Oreochromis niloticus: one gene and its partner. The main gene of each other region encodes a partner of the protein of the gene in region 2 in a complex. Links are inferred from orthologs where the notes say so. Each region holds a gene or a part of one and is shown on either strand. Other genes may lie near its edges.

The links. Proteins that work in one complex are often made in the same cells at the same time.
Region 1: gins1 (region 2) and mcm5 share a complex: the UniProt entries of both Homo sapiens proteins name them as parts of the CMG helicase complex. The link is inferred for Oreochromis niloticus from reciprocal best matches to the Homo sapiens genes GINS1 and MCM5.

What each region holds. Positions count from the first base shown.
Region 1 is NC_031969.2:8,559,851-8,570,099, forward strand, and holds mcm5 (DNA replication licensing factor MCM5), read right to left. Parts: upstream 5,240-10,249; 5' UTR 5,064-5,239; coding exon 4,891-5,063; intron 4,121-4,890; coding exon 3,994-4,120; intron 3,906-3,993; coding exon 3,777-3,905; intron 3,691-3,776; coding exon 3,518-3,690; intron 3,436-3,517; coding exon 3,280-3,435; intron 3,198-3,279; coding exon 3,028-3,197; intron 2,940-3,027; coding exon 2,768-2,939; intron 2,678-2,767; coding exon 2,566-2,677; intron 2,476-2,565; coding exon 2,332-2,475; intron 2,214-2,331; coding exon 2,148-2,213; intron 2,066-2,147; coding exon 1,889-2,065; intron 1,808-1,888; coding exon 1,695-1,807; intron 1,599-1,694; coding exon 1,470-1,598; intron 1,360-1,469; coding exon 1,217-1,359; intron 1,063-1,216; coding exon 935-1,062; intron 717-934; coding exon 615-716; 3' UTR 365-614; downstream 1-364. Other genes in the region: gcat (2-amino-3-ketobutyrate coenzyme A ligase, mitochondrial), read right to left, coding at 6,852-7,003, 7,677-7,798, 7,996-8,167, 8,253-8,335, 8,710-8,864, 9,008-9,154, 9,231-9,332, 9,414-9,544. UniProt on the Homo sapiens protein: Acts as a component of the MCM2-7 complex (MCM complex) which is the replicative helicase essential for 'once per cell cycle' DNA replication initiation and elongation in eukaryotic cells.
Region 2 is NC_031978.2:2,104,751-2,115,365, reverse strand, and holds gins1 (DNA replication complex GINS protein PSF1), read right to left. Parts: upstream 4,550-10,615; 5' UTR 4,492-4,549; coding exon 4,417-4,491; intron 4,383-4,416; exon of another isoform or gene 3,890-4,382; intron 3,780-3,889; coding exon 3,715-3,779; intron 3,131-3,714; coding exon 3,032-3,130; intron 2,952-3,031; coding exon 2,861-2,951; intron 2,666-2,860; coding exon 2,549-2,665; intron 2,471-2,548; coding exon 2,396-2,470; intron 2,309-2,395; coding exon 2,240-2,308; 3' UTR 2,151-2,239; downstream 1-2,150. Other genes in the region: lysophosphatidylserine lipase ABHD12, read left to right, coding at 5,734-5,906, 8,396-8,517, 9,267-9,372, 9,941-10,060, 10,158-10,188, 10,522-10,567. UniProt on the Homo sapiens protein: Required for correct functioning of the GINS complex, a complex that plays an essential role in the initiation of DNA replication, and progression of DNA replication forks.

The DNA.
Region 1 (10,249 bases), on a different chromosome or scaffold from region 2:
TAAAAGGTGCTTCCATCTTGAAACCCAGAAGCTACATCTGTACTTTACACCATCTAAAGTTTCAATTCTTGCTATAATATAAATTACATTTTGTGATGTTGCAAGGCTTGAGGCTTCACTAACCAGTGAGCGGGATTACAAAGGCTCCATCCATCTTTTATATACAGTGTGTGACATGCACAGTTTGCACTTTACTCAGTTTGGCTCTGAAAGAGAAATCATGACGGAAATTTGGACAATCTGTCAACTCCAAACCAAAGCAGTGATTTTACTTGTCATTTGTATTCATCAAATTGTGTCTCTGTTTATGATCCATTTAATAAAAAACAAACACAAAAAAAAGAAATACTCTCAAATTTGAATGTGAATTTCAACACTTTATTTATTTTTTTTAAACACGGTATGCAGACATTAAGTAACATCTTTAGCTTGATACAAAGCACTAGGACCATCTTAGCAGTGACTCTTCATCCACCCTGTTGGCATGCATCCTGCTGTACAGAGCTACAGCAGAGACGAGACACTATTCTGACATTCTGGCAAACATAACACCACAAAAGAATCAAAACTATTTACATCAACAACAATATGGCTATCTCACAGAGCACTTTTCTCTACTTGACTCTGTAGAGCACTTTTCTCTGCATGCGGTGCTGAAGCTCCCCCCTCCTTAACATCAGGTGGAGGACTTTGTAGATGGCGTGCTCCGGATATTTCTGCAGGAAGGACAGAAAGAGGTCACTCACAGGACCCAGACCAAAACTGATTCTTTTATCAGGCATGTAAAAATGTTTCTCAGGCCTGTTTTTACATAACTGACAAAAGACAACTGAACACTGTACTCCTGTAATCATCCCAATGGAACATAAAACACAAGCTGGGCACAGAGTCAAATCGCTGTTCAAATGTTTTATCCCCAGGTTGATATTCTCACCTGTTTGGTGAAGTCCTGAATGATGCTGTGCTCTGACACTTGCGAGCCGATGGCGAAGCGTCTCTTCAGCTGCTTCTCGATGCGAGAGATCATTTCCTGGTCCTCTTGAGACGTGAAGCCTTCCGCTCCTGGACACAAAATGTGGTTGGCATGCTTAGCTGAGGCTTAACACTTGGCTTCCAGCAAATTTAAAACAAAACATTCCTTAATGGAACAGCTAATATGGTTCAGTTTAATGAGGCAGATTTATCCGCTAGACTCAAAAACATAACCAACGCCCACCTGAAAGGCTGCCAGACAGTGCAGCGTCCAGCGTGGAAACCTGGAAGAGCCTCAGGGCCTCATCCACCTCCTCTTCTCCAGCCACTGCCTGCAGCTTCATCTTAGCCAGCGACTCTGCGATGCGCACGACGGCCTCCAGCTGCCTGAAAACCCCAAACATCAGACAGACGATGACGCGAGAAGATACAAGTACTAAAGCTGGCGTAAAAAGACACATTTACACGAATATTTATTAAAATAAATAAAAATCTACCTGACTGTGATGGGGATGGAGGCTCTTTTGTCGCTCTCCCTCTCATGCTCTCGTGCTCCGCTCCTCATCACCACGTATCTGTTTTTTAGCTTCTCAGCAGCTGCAGCAGACAGCCGAGGACCACACTTACTGTAAAAGGGCAAATGAGTATTATTATTTATTTTTTAAACTAAGTAGATGACTGTGTGCTTGATCAAACTAATATATGAACTCCAGGACACTTACGTTCTGGCATAAGCGATGTATTTCTTAAATGTGGTCAGCGGGATCTCGCCCTCGACACCCTCGGTCTGCGTCTGTGCGCTGAGGTGGACGTTCATCACGTGGCGAGCCAGCGTCTGTAAACACACGCGTTCAAATAGTTACACTCCGTAAAAACTCCAACCGCACGAGGGTTTAACGCCGCAGGCCTTCCTTACCATGTCTCTCTGCTGGTCGTGCTGGTCCTTGATGATGAAGATCATATCGAAACGGGACAGGATGGTGGGCATGAAGTCTATGTTGTCTTCGCCCTTTGTGTCGTCCCAGCGGCCGTACACGGAGTTGGCCGCCGCCAGCACCGAGCAGCGAGAGTTCAGGGTGGTGGTGATGCCAGCCTGGGAGGAGAGCCCACGTGTTAGCTTGCCTTCAACATAGCGAGCACATTTTGCTTTCTTTAAATGCACAAAGAGGGGATACCTTAGCGATGGAGATGGTCTGCTGCTCCATGGCCTCGTGGATCGCCACTCTGTCATCCTCTCTCATCTGGACAACAAACAGTGTTATCTTTAATAATGAGGCCGGAGATCAACTGATGGTTTAGTTTGTGCCAAGTTTGAATTCTTGTTTGCAGCTGGAGCAACTTGTGCTGCTTCGTTTTTACCTTGTCAAACTCGTCGATGCACACGACCCCGCCGTCGGCCAGCACCATGGCTCCCCCCTCCATGATGAATCCTCGGGTGCTGGGGTCCCTGAGCACGGAGGCAGTCAGACCGGCCGCGCTGCTGCCCTTACCAGAGGTGTAGATCTGCAGGGGACAGAGTCGAGGTTCAGGATCAGTGTGAGGGGTTTACACCGGATTTGCCATAGTGACGACAATCCACTCAGGATTACTTACCCCGATGGGCGAGCATCTCTCAACAAACTTCAGCAGCTGAGACTTGGCTGTGCCGGGATCACCCAGCATCAGCAGGTTGATGTCACCTCTACGAGTGAGACCATCAGGCAGCCTGCAGAGGACAGGAAACGAAAGCACTGCTGGGTAAGTCAGGGACTTTTACAATAAAGGTGGCGGTCTATGTATTGCGCTTCAAGCTCACCTCTTTCTTGAACCTCCAAACAGCAGACAGGTAATGGCCTTTTTCACATCGTCGCTGCCATAGATGGATGGCGCTATGGACTGTGACAGAGAGTTGTAGATGTTAGGAGAAGCAGCCAGTGCTCTCAGTTCCTCCTCTTCCTGTGGGGAGACGGATCCAGTGGCACCACGGCCTAAAAGAGGAAAACACATCCACACTTAAAGCCAGCTCTGCGTGCCTGAAGCGCATCACACCCGCATCTTAATGCAAACCCTCTTCACCTGCGCCTTCTGTGTCCACCTGGATGCCGACCACTCGCAGATAGGACGCACGAATACCCACGCCAACCCCTCTCTCTTTGCCTTTGGCTTTTGGTGCAGCCATCTTTTTGATGGAGTAAATACCCATGATGGTCACCCTGTTTCCTGGGACCACGCGGTCACACAGATACCTGAGAGAGAGGTGGGAAAAAGCATGAGTGTAAAAGCAGCAGAGCAGCAGAAAAGCTGAGTGCTGGTCACACATGTGCTTACCTGTCGCAGTAGAGCTGCAGGTGACGGGGCATCTCTCCGTGCGGTACAGCATCCGGGGACTCCTGCAGGCGAAGTGTCTGGAAGTCGACGCAAACGCAGCGGTCTGGGATGATGAAGAAAGGGTCCACGGGGCACTTTACCCTGCCAGCACTCTCACTGAGAAAAGAGGGAGCCTTGTTAAATCTGATTCTGGGTGAGGAACTCGAGCGGAGGGACGTTACACCACCATCATACTCACGAGTTGCACTTGCGCGGCAGGGCGTAACCCTGCAGGCCCGGAGGCAGGGGGATGTTGGGGATGACGGCGCGGCAGCCGCGACACTGCAGGAACACCTTGGTGGCTTTGGCTTTGACTGCCGTTGCAGAGATGATGATGCCGTGCACCTTCACCAGACGAGACACCTGCTCAGACTGCAGGGGACAGAAAAAACAAGAAAAAGTGTGATCAACCTGTCAGTAACTCCTACAGTATGACACATGAAGAGGTATGAGAGTACCTTGAGGCTGCGGATGGAGGCGTGATTAGCGTCGCTCTTCAACGTGACCTGGATGTCCTGCACAGCCTCTTCCCCGACAGGCCGGGGACGGGTCACCTCATCGGCCACCTCCTTCGCGGCTTCCTCCAGCTGTAAATTAAAAGCAGACCTTCAGACGAAGGCGTCGGACGGACAGATTGCGCGCTGCGACGGAGTTTGTGTGGTGTGACATTCTCACCAGAGGCAGGTTCTCAGTCGGCAGCTTGTAAAGACAGTCTGACAGATCCTCATCGAAGCTGGCGAGGTCCTCCATCTCCACCTCCAGCCAGTACTCCCCCAAGGTGTAGTGTCGCTTCAGCTCATCTCTAGTTGAATTTTTAAGTAAAGGATTTAGGTACAAGTGAAAATACTGCAAATTCATAGGCTGGATGAGCCTGAAAATGACACCTTTAGAGCCCTTTAATGGCAAATTATTCAGATGCTTCACAAAAGGGATCACAGTAGACCCAAATATAACTACTGTTGGTCTCTACACGTTATCAAGTTCAAGACGAGCTAGAGCAGGGATGTCAAACTCATCAGCCACATACAGCCCAATTTAATCTTAAGTGGGCCAGAGCAGTTTTCTTTTTCCCCTTTTTTATCATTGATCCACTGTAAAAGAAAACCAGATAGTAGACAGAAAAGTTCCATTTACTCATTTAACTGTTTAGCTATTACTTTACTTTGGTATAGAAGTTATGGTGATGGGGGAGAAAAGCTTAAAACTGATAAAAATATAGTTAAAAGTCCAGCATTTACACACTCCTTCACATTTTCCAAAGCCTTTCAGTGGGCTACACTGGAGTCTTCGTCTGGCCGATTTTGGCCCTCGGGCCTTATGTTTGACACCTCTGTGCTAGAGTCTACATTTTCCCCCAAATTCAGCAGCCCCTTTCTTTAGGCCTCCTGCCAGACTAATGAGCAAAAATCTCAACACTCACTTTGTAACAAAGCCTTTCAGTTAAGAAACAAGGCGATCCTCACAGACTCACCAGTCTTATTAGCTATATTACCTATATTGAGATCAGATCCTGAACACTCAGTGTGCGGCTGTATAACAAACAACAGCACGGTGCGCTCGCTGTTACCGTACCTGTATTTATAGGTGAAGCCGGTGCGGTCGGTCCCCACTCTGAATTGTCGCAGGAACTCACGGAACCGCTTCTTGATCTGGATCCGCTTCTGTCCACCTTCGTCCCCGCCGGGGCCCTCTCCACCTCCGAAGCTGTCACTGTAGTACACTCCTGGGTCGTCAAAGCCAGACATGCTGAATGAACCAGGTCGCAAAAGACACGAAGAGAAGCTGAGTGTAAAGAAGCAAACCCAGACAAAAACGACTTTTTCTTCTTAGTAAGAACTTAGCAGGATGTAAGGTGCCGCACACAAAGCCTCCTCACGGCGTCTCTTTCGCGGGAAAAACTGAACTCCTTCCCTTCACTTTCCCGCGAGCCGCCTCTGCGTGGCGTCATCTCCGGGCCTCTGATTGGCTGATAGGAAAGGCCTTGCATTGCTATTGGTCGGCGTGGCTACTCGGAGGTAGGTCGTCAGAGTAAAGGTGGAGCTTGTGAGCACTGATGGCGCGAAAAAGGCAGCAGGAGGAGGGTAGAGGGAAGCGTGGGGAGAGAGAGACACAAAGAAGGAAACAGACGATCTGCACAGTCAGATTTAAAAGAGTCATGTGTTTATGCTGATTGAATAGTAACACCTCTGAATACTTTGTCATTCTTTGCGAAATGCACTTTTAAATATTTAACTCTTTGTCATTTCAAATTTACACTATATGTCTTTTATCTAATTGAAAGGAAGAGTATTGATCGGCTTGATTGGTATGTACATGAAGCTTAAACACAGATAAAAAAGGAAAAACTAAAACAAAGCCTCTTACGGGGTTGATCCACCACATTCTTTGTAAAGCACCTTGAATAGACTTGAGTCTAGATTCAAGGGTCTGTGGATGCCTACTGGAGCGATGAACCCTGTTCCTCCAAAACAGATTCGGTTATTTGGTGTTTTGGTGCTAGGGAGTGGGGAATGCAGTAACATTCAAACCATTCGGCAAACTACAAATTGGTGCAGGGACCTCTCCTATCGGGAATGTTTCATCCTAGGATAAAGACACCAACTCAGTACAACTTAAAGGAGGACTGAAACCATGGGAGAGGGGAAAAATGCATAGCCGGACCACTCATCCTCTCAATCTACAGTCTTTTACTATGTTTGTGAATGTTTCCATCACTCTGCGCAGTGCTGCTTCGAATCCAAGCAAAATTATATAAAGGAAAGCATTTTATAGCAAAATGGTTTTCATTTAGTAGTGGTGTGCAACACTGTAAATTCTGATATTGATTCAAACTAAGTGCAGGACCAGTATTGCTGATACCAATACTGATACTTTGAACCTATAAAGGCAGCTCATGTAGAAGAGAGCATGTTTGAGGTATATTTTTTTCATTTTTACCCCTCAGAAAATATTTTATTTAACACAATTCAGTGGGCTACACACTGAATTTAGAGAACAGTATTAAACCTATGGCGCTAGTATCGATCTGATACCAATACCAGCACTGGTATGGATATTTGATATTGGGATCAATTCGGCCACCTCTAGCATTTAGCATCTCAACTTTAGAGGAGAATTATGGACTTTTCTTATAAATAAAACTCAAAGCCATAGTTTTTTTTCTTCTCTTATTTGAAGGATGTTTAATGTTTACCACACATGCCGATAAGCTAAGCACATTATATGTGTCACCATTATCCTCACAGTCATCAGAATCACATCTGCAGGATGGTTAAATGCCTTTTCAGATTCAGTGGAAACATTTTCTCGCTCATGAAAAGCGTTTAATCAACTGCCCTGTTTTGTTCCAATACAAACACTTTAGCAAAAGTGCTTTAATCAGTTAAGCAAGCACAAACATTCACCTCCAGTGACCTACAAATGTAACTAAAATTTCCATCACCATCATTCATGGATCTTGAGTAACAGGCAGCGTGACCCTGCAATGGCAAGCAGTTTTCTGAATCCTTCTGATTCCAGCCCGTTTGTTCGATTCAGGAGATGACGCCGTGCTTCCTGCCAGTCTGGATGAAAGCGTCAACACAGCGGTCGATGTCTTCGTCCGTGTGCGCTGCCGAAATCTGAACACGGATTCTGGCTTTTCCCTTTGGTACGACTGGGTAGGAGAATCCAATCACATACACTCCTGTGGAGGGAAGACACTACTGTGACACTGTATAAACACAGTAGCAGATTCACATACTCTGTGCTAAGTGAGTCAGTTTCATCTACATTAAAGAAAAAAATAAAGTTAATGTGGAAGTGCCAAAAAACTGCAGTTCCTTGAGCGGGCACTTGAGGCTGTCCCCAAAAGCGAGTCAATCCCCATAGACTCCCAGAAATGAACATGTTTTTTAGCCTGGTACAAAGAACTACTTTTGGTCTCTAGTGCTAGTTTCCCCCTTCACAACAACAGTACATGTGGTAAATTAATTTATTACTCACAATTTTAAACTGTAATGAGGTAAATATAAGCTTGTGGCCACCTTGACTTACTGATAAATGGCTGTACGGCAAACTGGATGTTCTAGCTTGTCCAGCAAGTCTGTGTGGTCAGTTTTGATGAGTGTATTTAATTTCTGTCTTACTTAGCACTAATTAGCTTGTGTAGCCATAGCACTTATTCAGGTTAGAGCTTGCTAACCAGCCTTGCTAGCATAATAAACCAATAACTTAGCAGTTGTCATTCATCAAAACACGGTCATGTCTGACTTAAAGAAAAAAACAACAACAACATGGCAGAGGCCAGAATTTGAACATTAATTCTTTGAAAATGAATGGCTAACATTCCATCTATTATATACAGTCTATGGTCTCACCAAGCTTCAGCATATCGTCAGCCATTAAAGAGGCCAAACGTGCATCGCCGAGCATCACAGGGCAGATGGGGTGAGCTGAGCCTGCGATGGTGAAGCCGGCTTGCGTCATCTTGTTCCTGAACCTGATTTGACAGCAAAGAGAAAACTATTATACTCACAGATGGGTAAAACCAGTTGTAAGCAGTATAAACCTTATCACTGAGTGCAGGTCAGCCTATATATGATATTAATATTCGTACAGGTAAACCGATTGGTGTTTATGATGTACACAACACTAAAAACATAGAAGACTCCCACTGTTCGTAAGAACAAAATGTACCGCATGGTTTTGGCCGTCATGCTTTGGGCAATCTCATTGGAGGCAAGCAACAGTTCCACAGCCCGCGTTGCACTGCCCACCACAGGAGGGGGGAGCGCGTTGGAGAATAGGTAGGGCCGCGAGCGCTGCCTGAGTAGGTCAATGAGAGGCTTTGGGCCAACTGTGTAACCACCTGAGAGAAAACAATACAACGTTTTACTAATTTATACTTAATAAAAAGATGTTGTGAGAGCCTTCATGTTAGAATGGAGTCATACCTGCTGCTCCTCCCAGCGCTTTGCCCAGAGTGGAGTTAATAATATGAACTCTATCCATCACTCCAAGGAGTTCATCAGTTCCTCTGCAAATCACAGGGAAGCGGTAACATTAGTTCATCACCTCTTGATAACGGAGATAGCTAAACTTCATCAAGAGCCCAGTAAACGGCAGTTGCTGTAAGAATGGACTTTGGCGACACCTAGTGGTCATGTTGAAAAAGACACTGTCCCAGCTTTTTTAGAGCAGTTTTTTATTCAAAGTCTGTTGGACACGAGGACACAGAAGCTGAAAAGCATTTTAATAACAATCCACTCTTCTCTGCCTCTTCGAAATAAAAAAAAACTTAGAAATTAAAAATGATTTTAGGGCATTACACTTTTACGATTAGAGGTCTTGTGTTTTATTTTGCAAAATAACTGACTTAGGATTTTTCAGTTGAAGTCTTTTCTTACCCACCTTCCCCGAGGCCCTAGGAAACCGGTGGCGTGACATTCGTCTATAAACACCATGGCTCCGTACTGCTCAGCCAGGTCACAAATCCCTCGCAAGGGAGCCACATCTCCATCCATTGAGAAGACCCCATCTGTCACTACCAGACGCATACGAGACGACTGAGGAGGAGAACAGAGAGCGCAGGTGATCGGTGTGTGACCTCCTCTGAGTAAGCTGTGTCATTTTCACTATTTTCTAACACAATGCAAGGAGCGATGGAACAAGAAGGAATGTTTTACTCCGTCTACATTCCTCCACACACCGAAGCTTCTTTGAGTTTGGTTTCCAGGTCACCGAGGTCCATGTGTTTGTAGCGCAGCCTCTTCGCTCGACACAGGCGAATGCCATCGATGATCGAGGCGTGGTTTAGCTCGTCAGAGAGCACTGCGTCATCTGGGCCCAGCAGCACCTGTTGTGAGAATAATTTGTCGTTATACTGATCGTAACAGGGGGAAGTCCTTCGTTTCAAGTCCATTTGGACCCACCTCAAAAAGTCCCGCGTTGGCATCGAAACAGCTGGCGTAGAGGATGCAGTCCTCTCTCTCATGGAACTCAGCGAGCTTCTGCTCTAGCTTTTTGTGGAGATCCTGTAAATCACGCATTACGCAAACTTAACCTCATGAATTAGACAGCTTTGGGGTGATATACATGATCTTTAAGCACCAGACCTGCGTCCCACAGATGAATCTGACAGAGCTCAGTCCAGCACCGTGTGTCTTCAGAGCATCGATTCCTGCCTGGACCACTTCTGGATGACTGGACAGCCCGAGGTAGTTGTTGGCGCAGAAGTTCAATATACCTGAGAGAATTTTGGATGGACAAAAGGAAAATTAAGGTTAAAAAAGAGAGAGTCACTGTCCCATAATAACCTCTTTGAGCAGGTCGAAGCTGGGAGTAGAAGTTCTGCTTGTATTTTTAGGCTACAGACGAGACAACAGAGAGAGAAGACAAAGAGTGACAGAGAAAACAATGCATGGGACCGTGGCACTGTTGGGCACATGAAATGAACGGGGGTCGTTTTAGTGCATGTTGGGTCACGACCTAAAGTCTGTGGCCCATTCATAAATTAGCAGAGTCGATCTCTGGCAAGGGTTCAGGCTGAAATATAAACAGTGATCGGCTGCTTTGCTGGAACAATAGCAAATAAGGCAGAGATTAACTGGTGCAGTGCAGTTAAATGCTAGAGCCTTCACAAGTCAAACAATGAATATGCATTGTACAAAGCACAAAACAGCTTTCTGTTGATGACATAAAGACCACTTTACAAATTATTTTGAATTATTTAAAGCTTGAATCTCATACTTTTGGTTAATGTTTTTCCAAAGGCTGCCCCGAGAATAGCTTCAGAAGTGCAAAACAAGGGAGTAGCAGGGATTACTTCAAGTTCACCGCTGAGATAAGAACGTGGCAGAACTGAAATAACACCTTACCTGGGACGGTGCGTTTAAGGACCATCACCGAGGAGGGTGCTACTGCTACTTATAAAACTGCTGTAACTGGAAAC
Region 2 (10,615 bases):
TGCCATTTTTCCGACAGCTGGCGAGGAACGCCAAGTCGAGCGCGCTGCTGAAGGACCTGTACGTGGAGAACTCGCAGCTGATGAAGGCGCTGCAGGTCACCGAGCAGCGGCAGAAACGCGCCGAGAAGAAGAACTTCCTGCTGGAGGAGAAGGTTGGCGCGCTCAACAAGCTGCTGAGGGACATCGTCCCTGCGTCGCTCGCCACATAACCATGCCAACGCGGAGCATAAGAACCCCAGCAGGTGGGGGCGGGGCCTCACCTCTGCCCTGTGTGGAGCAGGTGGATGTCTGTCTCCTCACTGAAGCAGTCCACACACACACACACGTGTGTCAGTATTATCTTTGTTTAAAATGAAACCTGTTTTTATTTTTGCGTCGTTTAAATAAAGTTTTAATGTCTCTGTGACTCCGCCTCCTGCAGCTGATACATTTCTTTTAACACATCATGGTGTAGGAGTTGCACAGTAAATCACTGGTTTTCATTGTTAGCCTCAAATGTCAACTTTGAAAGTCTGCGGTGTCAAACATACAGCTCGGGGGCCAGAACCGGCCGCCCGAGGGCCCGCTTGGGTCTGGTGTGAGCTGTGAGGAGCGCCGGCCGATGTTTGGAGCAGGAGGAAGCCCCGAGGCCGCGACGGTCACGGCTTTAAAGCTTCGGAGCTCTGCTGTGTTTAATCTTTATGTCATCTTACTTTTATCTTTTTAATCAGTCAGACGTCCCAGCGGCGCCGAGCGCCTGCAGCCAATAACCACGTCGATAAACTCGATCAGCTGAACCTGAACATCAACATTTTATTTGATTTCAAAGTATGATTACAGGTAAAGCTTCACACCTGTGCTGTCATACAGTCACTGGCCATTTCATTAGGTACACCTGATGAAATACCTGATGCCTTTAATCAGCCAATCCCACGTCAGCAGCTGTGAGCGTGGTCGTGCCTCACTGAGGTCAGAAGGAGAAGAATGGGAAGGAAACAGGTAGTCAGATTAACACACTGACAAACCTGCAGCACTCGTGTCATGATGTCGTGATGATGTCATATCCACATGGACCAGAGTCTGAGGAACACTTTCAACTTGTTGAATCTGAGACGCTCTGAAGGAAATAGGGCTCCGCCCACTCGGAGGTAGACCTAATAAAGTGTCCATGATGGCATAAACCTGTCTAATCCCGTCTGTAAGTGACAGCGTATGAATCCTGCTTCGGTCCAAACTACTCTGTGTTTATTAAGGCTGTTGTGTTATTAACATTTTGTATCTTGTTCCATTTAATCTGAACAAGCCCCTAAAAACAGTCAGTGATCACTGTCGTCCTCTCTCGGTTTTTATCACCACTGTTCATTTTAAAGCTCAGTTTTTAAACCCTTCCGATATAACTACAGCCCAGCACATGCAGCAGCATATTAATGACTAACCTCGTACTGTGGATGGATTATCTCAGGTGTGAGATAATCCATTTATTCCCTAACCATCGTGAACCCTCACGTTAACTTATACGAAATGGAAAGAAAGTTAGCGTTCATCCTCCAGCTTCAGTGTTTATGTGATGCTAACATAGCTGTGTAGCTAGCCACCACGTAGCACGTCATTATATACCAGCTAGCCCAACTTCAGTAACCCTACAAACGTCACTGCTGTTTAGTTTTCTGTCTTCATTTATGTTGGAAGTGATAGCAGAGCTGTACGTTTGAATGTTTCAGAAATCTCAGTCAGAACATGCTATATCATGTTTAGGTGGAAGCTAGTGAGCTAACTTCCTGCTAACTTCTAACTCTGTTAAATTTCATAAATCCTGTTTTCATGGATGCCTGGATGTTAAACTTAATAGTTACACCTGGTAAAGCAGCAACGCTGATCATTTTATTAAAGATGAAAGAATTTAGACAGTTTGTAACTCTCAGTGATGCCGCAGTGTTCGTTTGACTTTGGGACCTGAAGCGGAGTTTGGACCCAGAAACAGCTGATGACATCAGACTTAAAGACCGGATGTTCTTTATGGATCTGTCAGCTGATCCTGTGATGACAAGTCACATGACACAAACACACAGGAAGTCCCTGACAGGGTTCAGGTTCTGTTGAACCTGCTTCCTGCTCAGGTGGATAAGAACAGGAAGTGGCAGCCGAGAGCTTTTAAATAAAGTAGGCGGAGCTTGAAAAAAACATTTATTATCACATCAGAAGAAGAGGCCAGAATAAAGGTAAGTGCAGGTGTTTTCCAGCTGCTGAAACATCTGCATCGTCAGGACACCACATGCTCCAGGACGCCCTGACGAATCAGCAGTTCGCATTTCCACCGCGGCAGGAAGTGCTGAGGACAGAGGGGACGTTACCATGATGACTTCAAACATTTCACATGTTATTAAACAGTAGAAGAAGAGTGGCTTCCTGTCCTCACCTGGCTGTTCTTCTTCAGCAGGATCACCGTGCCGTCGTCGATCTCAAACTCGCCGTGGTCCTTCAGACACCTCACCTGAAAAACAAAGACGGATGCCGGCGTCAGTGCTGCGAGGTCATGCTGCAGCTGAAGGTCAAAGGTCAAATGTCTCACCTCAATGTAGAGGCTCTTTGGAGGCTTCATGTCCTGCGTGATGTCCAGACCCTCATCGCCCCCCAGAGAGCGCATGAAGGAGGCCAGAGACTTCTTATACTGACTGAACCACTGCAGCTAAAACACACACAACACACACACACACACACACTGAAGAGCTACAGCACGCTCTGCTGCCTCTTTCACAATAAAAGCCTCCCCTGAAGCGAATTACTCAGGCTTTTAAAGTGAAAGTTTACAACCGCCAATAAAAAGAGCATCAGTGAGAGCGCTAACACCTGAGAGACACACAGGAAGTGATGTCACACTCACCTCCTCTGCACACATGTGGAAGCGAACATTGGCGGGCAGCACGCTGCCGTACTCCCAGCGCAGCGCTCTGATCCTCAGCAGCCGGTCGTACCTGCAACAAAGATCAGCAAAGGTCATCGAGGAGAAAGGTGAGGCAGAGAGAGGTGGTCACATGACTGCAGGTGTGGTTACAGGTAGGCGGTGACGCAGCGCTGGTTCCTCAGCAGGCAGCAGTGGCGCAGTTTGATGGAGGGAATCAGCTCGGCGCGACCTTCGCTCTTTGCCTCGTTCCTGAAAAAACACGCACATCAGCTGATCAGTGACGCCGTCAGTCGCACCTGTCTGTGCGTGCGAACACTCAGGTGCCAGGGAGGATGCTGGACGGGGTCCGCTGAGCAGTTTGGAGTGGGCGGGGCCTTCATGACACCCTGAACCAGCACTCAGGTGGTGTTCCTCCTTTTTAGGAGGTCCGGAGGGTGTGTTACTGTAGGGTCTTTACCTTACAGCATAAGCACCCTGAGGCGACTGTTGTTGGGATTTGTTGCTGTATAAATAAAATTTTATTTAATTCCTGAGATAAAATTTTCATTGCATTTAGTATTATTTATTACTTTTATTGTAACATTAACTGTAGGTGGTTTTGGACCCAGTATCATGAATTTAAACTGAAGCTGAGGCCCAAAGCTTCACATGACTTCCTGTTCATTTGATATGGATTTCATGGTTTTTAAAACCTGCTATGAGAGGGAGGAGCGGGGGCACGGGAGGTTTAATCTGGTCATGGTGAAGCTCAGGTTAACAGAAACCTGGATCCAAACCCTCAGACCCTGGGAACTCTGAGGAAACCCGGACAGATTGGCCTGCCGTGGACTCACACGTCACTCTGGTTCTGCTCGTAAAGTGCCTCCATCTCCTGCAGCACCTGTCGCAGTCCATCCTCCTGAAACACAGAAACCAAACCCGAAGTGAGTGAGGCTCAGTGACCTGATGGAGCAGCTCCCGGTGGAGGCACAGACCTCCACAAAGCACTAGTTTGCATCAAACCCTCACTTCCAGGCGCCTTCAGATGATTCTTGTTGAATCCAGACTCCATTCAAATTTCTCCCTGTTTAAGGCTGAGTTGTTATTAGTCATCCACACACGAGTTTGACAGCACTTTGATAATTCAGCATATGCAGGAAATGATTCACCACGAAGAGTCCAACATAATATTAACTGTGTGCTGCTGGCTGCACATCGGTGTCGTTAAAACAGCCGACATGTAATGCAGTGCCCGTTATGTGTAAACATGTTTAGATGAGATCTCTAAGACGCGCATAATTCTGTCCAACACTTTTCCAATTTCAGAGTCCGTTTTCTTAAATTCCCCTCATTGGTCTGTTGGTCAGTATTTGAATCATCAGACCTGAGCCGAAGTTTAGTCCTGTGTCTGCACTGACTGAGGATGTTTGCGATGCATCACAGACCGATTATTCTGCTCTGAGCAGCAGGTAAATATTAAAATATCAGGTTTGTGAATGGAGTCCGCTGCCTCTGAAAACCGGGTGAAGCTCTGGGTTTTCGCCGGGATCACTCACGTTAAACGCGGGCAGCTGTCCGTCGCTCATGCGGTGCAGCTCTCTGATCAGCTCGATGGCTTTTTCGCAGAACATCGTGGCACCTCGAAAACGAGCACACCGAACAGAACCGAGCAGAATACCGGGAATCTCTCCGTTGGACCGCGACGCGCTCCTACTGTACCGGGCGGCTCGCGTTCGCGGTAAAAACAATGTTTTGATCACGTGACCGTTCCAGGCGCAGCTCCGGAAGCCGCGTTGGGTCAAACCTCAGACTCCGCGACACGAAGCGGGCAGCTGCGATTCCTAAAGGCTCTGGAAAGAGTCGGAGATGCGGTGAAGCGGATTCATTTGAGCCCGACTTAGAGGTGAGAGAGAGCCGTGTTAGTGCTGGTGTCGCCGGGGGCGGGAAAGCCGTCATCTACCGTCAAATCTCAGTTCTATCCCGCAGCGTGACTTCCGGTAAGCGCAGCGGCTAAAAATAAAGCCGTCAGCCCGACAGGAGCCTCTGACAGCGGGGACCAGGACGAGCCGGACTCACTGGCTCTGTGTGAGTTCATAAAGCCGCCTTTAACGCACTCTCCGCCGCTTCTTCTTGGGTTAGCTTCGGTTAGCTTCACTGTTAATACTGCGTTCAAGTTCCACCGGAAAAACGACCCCTCTGCAGCAAAATCCCTCAAAAATAAGTCAAAACTTCTGGGGTGATCGTTGGTTTCATCCACGCTTCCAATCAAATACACATCACTGCAGCTGTTTATCAGGAAATTACTTGATCTTTGTGGTGGCTTCTCTTTCTGGGACTTAATGGATACTCAGTGTCCTGATGTCGATTCATAAATGCTTTAGTTTGGGATTTTTTTTGGTCTGTGGTGTGTATTGGAATGAAATACAATGTATAAATCAAGATAGAAGCTGCTTAAATATTCCAACACAGAGACAGAGATCACAGCTTCTCACGCTTCACTTTGGTCACGTCATTCTGGGCGTTTCTTGACTTTCCGAGCTGTCCCTGAAGGCCCCGTACGCTCCCTTCGTCTTTAGTCTTTCTTTAATCCTCATAAACCGGTTTTGTTTTGGTTGTCGTTGCTCCGACGCTCCCCGGGGGCCGTGGACGCGTCACTGTGCGCCCACGTGGTTGTGTTACCTGCGTTGCGATTGGCTGCGGCAGATCTGCTTCAGATCAGCTGCTCTCTGCGGATCTCGGCGCAGGCACAGCGGGGACTCGGCTCCGTGCTCACCGGCTCTCAGCGCTCCGTCACCCGCACCGCAGCGGCCTCCTCCCCGCCGACGACGGGGGTGTCCTCCGGTTAACATCCGCTTTCAATCACGTTTCCAGGCATGCGTAAGCGGACCAACTCGCAGACAGCGGAGCATGACAGCGGGACCACCGGCACTCTGCTGGACAGCGACCCGGACCTGAAGCAGCGCACTGGCAGAGGAGCGGCGGGGCCCGCAGCAGGCAGCCGGCAGGGCCCGGGAGAGGACCGGAGCATGGCCAAACCGTTCCGGAGGTGAGAGGCGGGACAGATGCTTGTGATGTTGAAGCATCGCGTTATTTAGATGAAAATCAGTGTGATGTGAAGTGAATTCCATTTCATAGAAAAAAATCTTTATTGTTTTTGCTGCTTTTCTACTCAAGTTTATTCATTTAAGAATAATTAGTGCTGTACAAGAGAGTGAGACATTTAACAGTGATAAAGGTATAAATCCATAATGATAAACAGCTCACACGTAAAACAGAAATAAGAAGAAACAACAGTAAAATGGAAAGCTAAAAATTACAACTCGAATAAGAACATTTTATAAAAAATGCTTAAAAACAGAGTTGAATAAACAGCTTATTAAAAAACATCACAGAGGAGACCAAAAGTGTCCCGTCTGAGAGATCGGAGCGGGCTTGTACAAACTCAGGTATTTCCTCAACGTGCTGGGATTTTGACCCTTGTGCAAGATCTGACTGTGGGGTGGCGTTTCTGGTCCGACTGGTTTCACCGAGGCCGGCGAGCTGGTCAGACCGGAAGCTGCAGGTCGGACTGAACACGGCGGGTCCATAAAGCAGCGCCTCATTCAAAGCTCTGAACACAAAACTGCTCTTTGTTTACTGCAGCAGGAAACTTTACATCGAGATGCCAAAGCTATTTACCTGCAACAGCTGACAGACTCAAGCTGTCGCAACATCATCACGTTTAGTTTAACTGAGTCATCTCTGGTTACGGGCACAGGAAGTCAGCAGTTACAGCAGAAATGAGCTGATAACAGCAGCTTCACTGAGAGACAAACAAACATGAAGCTGCTGTGATTCTGATGTTTCTCTATCAGGATGAAGCTGACACTTTCAGGTCGGCCTTCATCCTGACTTTATTGTTGAGTGTTTGAGTTGAGTGTTCGGTCACAGCTCACGGCTCAGAGAGCTTCATAGGACCGCCTCCAGCAGGGTTAAACATCACAGCTGGGGGTGAAGAAGGCTCTCAGGCTCCGCCTTCACAGCCGTCCTTTAATGAAGAAATGAAAGAATTTAAAGAAAATACTCCAAAAAGACAAAGTGACTCTTTTCTGATCTTTAATTCACGAAGAATGAAGAATGTCAGACCTCGTTTAACCCCAGCTCAGCCTGTCAGGTCCACTCTTCTTCTTTGGTTTAATCCTCATTAGAGTCTCTGCAGCTCCAGCAGGAGGTCACCTGAAGCACAGGTCAGGCCCAGTGCATCCTGGGACGTTGACACATCCACCGTCTGAGCTCAGACGCCGACAGGAAGTGGCCTCGCTGCTGCTGCTGATGCGTGTTAAAGCTGTGGGTCACGGGTTTGAGTCCATGTGTCATCACTTCCTGCAGAATCAGCTTGTGAAAGGAGAAGTTCTGCTCCGTGACGCCGAGTCAGCGTCTCGACCTCAAACACGGGTGCCCTTTGACCTCTGACACACTTTTCAGAGAGTCGCCGTGAAATACGGAGCTGCGTTTTCTTATCACGAGTCAGCAGTACTGCAGGTGTAACAGTGGGAGTCTAGCCCGCCACAAACACGGGCATCCAGCTGTGGAGACACCTGACAGGAAGTTAGGAGGAGGTCCACGTTAAAGAGGCGGGGCTTTAGAAGCTGTTTGTAGATAAAAACATTGATTTCCTGCTTATGTTCATCATTACAGCCACGATCAGACAAGATGCTGTGTGTGTGCATGTAAACATGCTGCTCTGAGGACAGGTGAAGGTCTGCAGACTCTCACTCATCAATGAATAATTCAGTCTGCAGCTGCAGCGTCCTGTTACAGCGACAATACCAATACAGCTGATCAGCTTACACACACACACACACACACACACACACACACACACACACACACACACACACACACACACACACACACACACACACAGGGCTCAGATATCACCTTCACATGTTGTCCTGAGAGAAAGCAGCTGCTACCAAACTTGAATAAACTTTATTTAAACGGTGAACGTGAGGCTGCATCGCTCACACATGTTGTGTGCGTTATTTTCAGAGTTGTGTTTCTTGCAGTTTCCTGGGTTTATTCATGTTTCGTGTCTTTGGCAGCTCGATGGTTGTCAGATGCAGATTAATGAATAAAAATGTAATAAAAGTCAATCCTGTGTGATCGGGTCGAGTGGTGGACGCTGAAATAAAGTCCACGGAAACTTTCTATTAGTTACTGTGTTCTTAAAATGACCTGTGATATAATAATACAGTGAAATGTGTATTTAATGTCAGCTGAGGCTTCAGTTACCCTTTAATAACAGGACATTTTAATCATTGTTGGAGTAAAAGTCATAATAAAAATAAATGTACAGAAAGTTCAAACCAAACAGAATCAGGTTCCCGTCACAAACTGAATGTAAAGATTTCACGTGTCAGACGATCTGCACGCCTGTCACACGTGTCACGCTGAACGTGTCACGTGTGGGTCATTCATGATGTTGTGCTGTTATTGTGTGCCCTTGTGAGTAGGCGGGGTTTAAATAAAGTTATTTTGAATGTGTGTGCTCAGGTTGGGTCTGGTGGGGAAACTGAAGAGGGTGGTGTTGTGGCTGCTGCTCGTCTACGTCTCCATTCCCTTCATCATCAAGCTGTGTCCGTCCATCCAGGCCAAACTCGTCTTCCTCAACTTCGGTGAGTCGGCGTGTCCCGAATCGGCCTGTGTGAGCGGACGCTCCTTTATTTATAAAAACCTTTTCGTTAACACGCAGTAAAAGAAAACTCGATGAATCACTTCAAACCCCGGCCGCCTGCCCCTCCCTGGTCCTGCTCTGGTCGAGGTCTCTTCCTGTTAAAGGGAGTTCTTCCTCCTCGCTGTCGCCGAGAGCTTGCTCATGGGCTTCTCTGTGACTCTTACCTGAGTGAATGACTAGTCTCGGTTAAAGAGCGTCCGTCGTCCAATCAGACGGCATCAAACAGTTCGTCTGACTCAGTGAAGTTTAGAAAACAAAGTGTCGGTCCTGTGATCGTGACAGACATCAGTCTGTCCACGTCACCTGCACAGGTGCACTGCAGAAGACAAAATGCCACGCCCACATTTCTCCTTAAAAGGAAAGACATGAATGTGCAGCTCAACTATAAAAAGGGTTTCCTCGACGTGATGGGGGCTAAAAATAGCACAGAGGCTCAGGTGGAAACCACACAGCAGAGGGAGGGGCCACCCACCTGTGGGGCCGCGTTACTTTAATAAATCACAACAGAACGTTTATTTATTCTGTGTGTGTGTGTGTGTGTGTGTGTGTGTGTGTGTGTGTGTCACTGAGGTGTATTAATTACTGTAAAGATCAGTAATGATGACAGGAAGCATTGTGAATAGCGAGGCATCCTGGGTGTCAGTGAGCAGTCATGTGATCAGTATGTGACCTTTGACCTCCTCCCCTCAGTGAGGATGCCGTATTTCATCGACCTGAAGCGACCTCTGGACCAGGGATTGAACCACACACACAACTTCTACCTGGAACCTGAGAGCGGGCTGAAGATCGGAGTCTGGTAACACAGACACACACAGACACACACACAGACAGACAGACACACACACACACACACACACACACACACACAGACAGACACACACACACACAGACAGGTGTGGTGTGTATCGGTGTGTGTCTTTAAAGGAAGTCGAGGTTTTCAGTCGATATAAAGTATGGACATGTGGGCGGAGTCTCGCCCTCGGGCTGAGGGTTCAGGTGTTTCCTGACACGCGTGCTGGACTGATCGATCCACATTCCCGCCCTCAGACAGATACTGTGGAGCACCTTACACGCACCCATGTCGTTCCATTATCTGGAGTCAACTGATGCTGGGATCAGGAAGCTGGGGTTCACAGCATGAGTTACCATGGCGACTGCAAGCCCGACACGACCTCTATAGAAAGTTCAGAGTTCACCCTGAAGTTACCTGGATAAGAGGAAATCCTGTGGGCAGTGCAGACGTCTCAGATTACCTGTGACCATGAGCCAAGGGTGGAGGCTGGAGGAGTGAGGAGGAAACGAGCCTCCTGCTCCCGAGACCCAGCGTGTGTTTGTTTGTTTACATGTTTGTTTGTTTGTTTCAGGCACACGGTTCCTGCTCAGATGTGGAGAGAAGCTCAGGGGAAGGAAGGCGACTGGTACGAGTCCAAGTTTAGCTCCTCCCATCCTGTTATCCTCTATCTCCATGGAAACGCAGGGACCAGGTGAACCGCCCGGCCCGGCCCTGCCAGCAGGCATACACACACCTTTGTCATTGATTTAAATGTAGAGTTTGACCTTTGACCTCGTGTCTCTCTACAGAGGAGGAGACCACAGAGTGCAGCTGTACAAGGTGAAAACTCGTCTGCTGTTTGGAGTCAGTCACAGAATTTATGGAAACTTCCAGAAACCACAGAACCCTCATCAGGAGCTCCTCGACCTCTGACCCTGATCTGACCCAGGCCCTTTAAAGGGGTCTGGGTCAGATCAGGGTCACATTTTCTGAGACACATGCATGTTTGGGGGCGTGGTTTAATGAGCTGAGAGTTTGTGGACTTCCTGTTTTTGTCACTGTTTTTCTTTCTGCGTCTGTGAAACGCTCTCCAGTCTTCGATCTCTTTGATCTTATTGGCTGTGGACGGAGTGATGCTGCAATGACTGACTGTGTCTGCCTGTTTTCCTTCAGGTCCTCAGCTCGTTAGGCTACCACGTGGTCACGTTTGATTACAGAGGTGAGAAATAAGCCAAGTACAGCAGGCAGACAAACACAGCTGGCACAC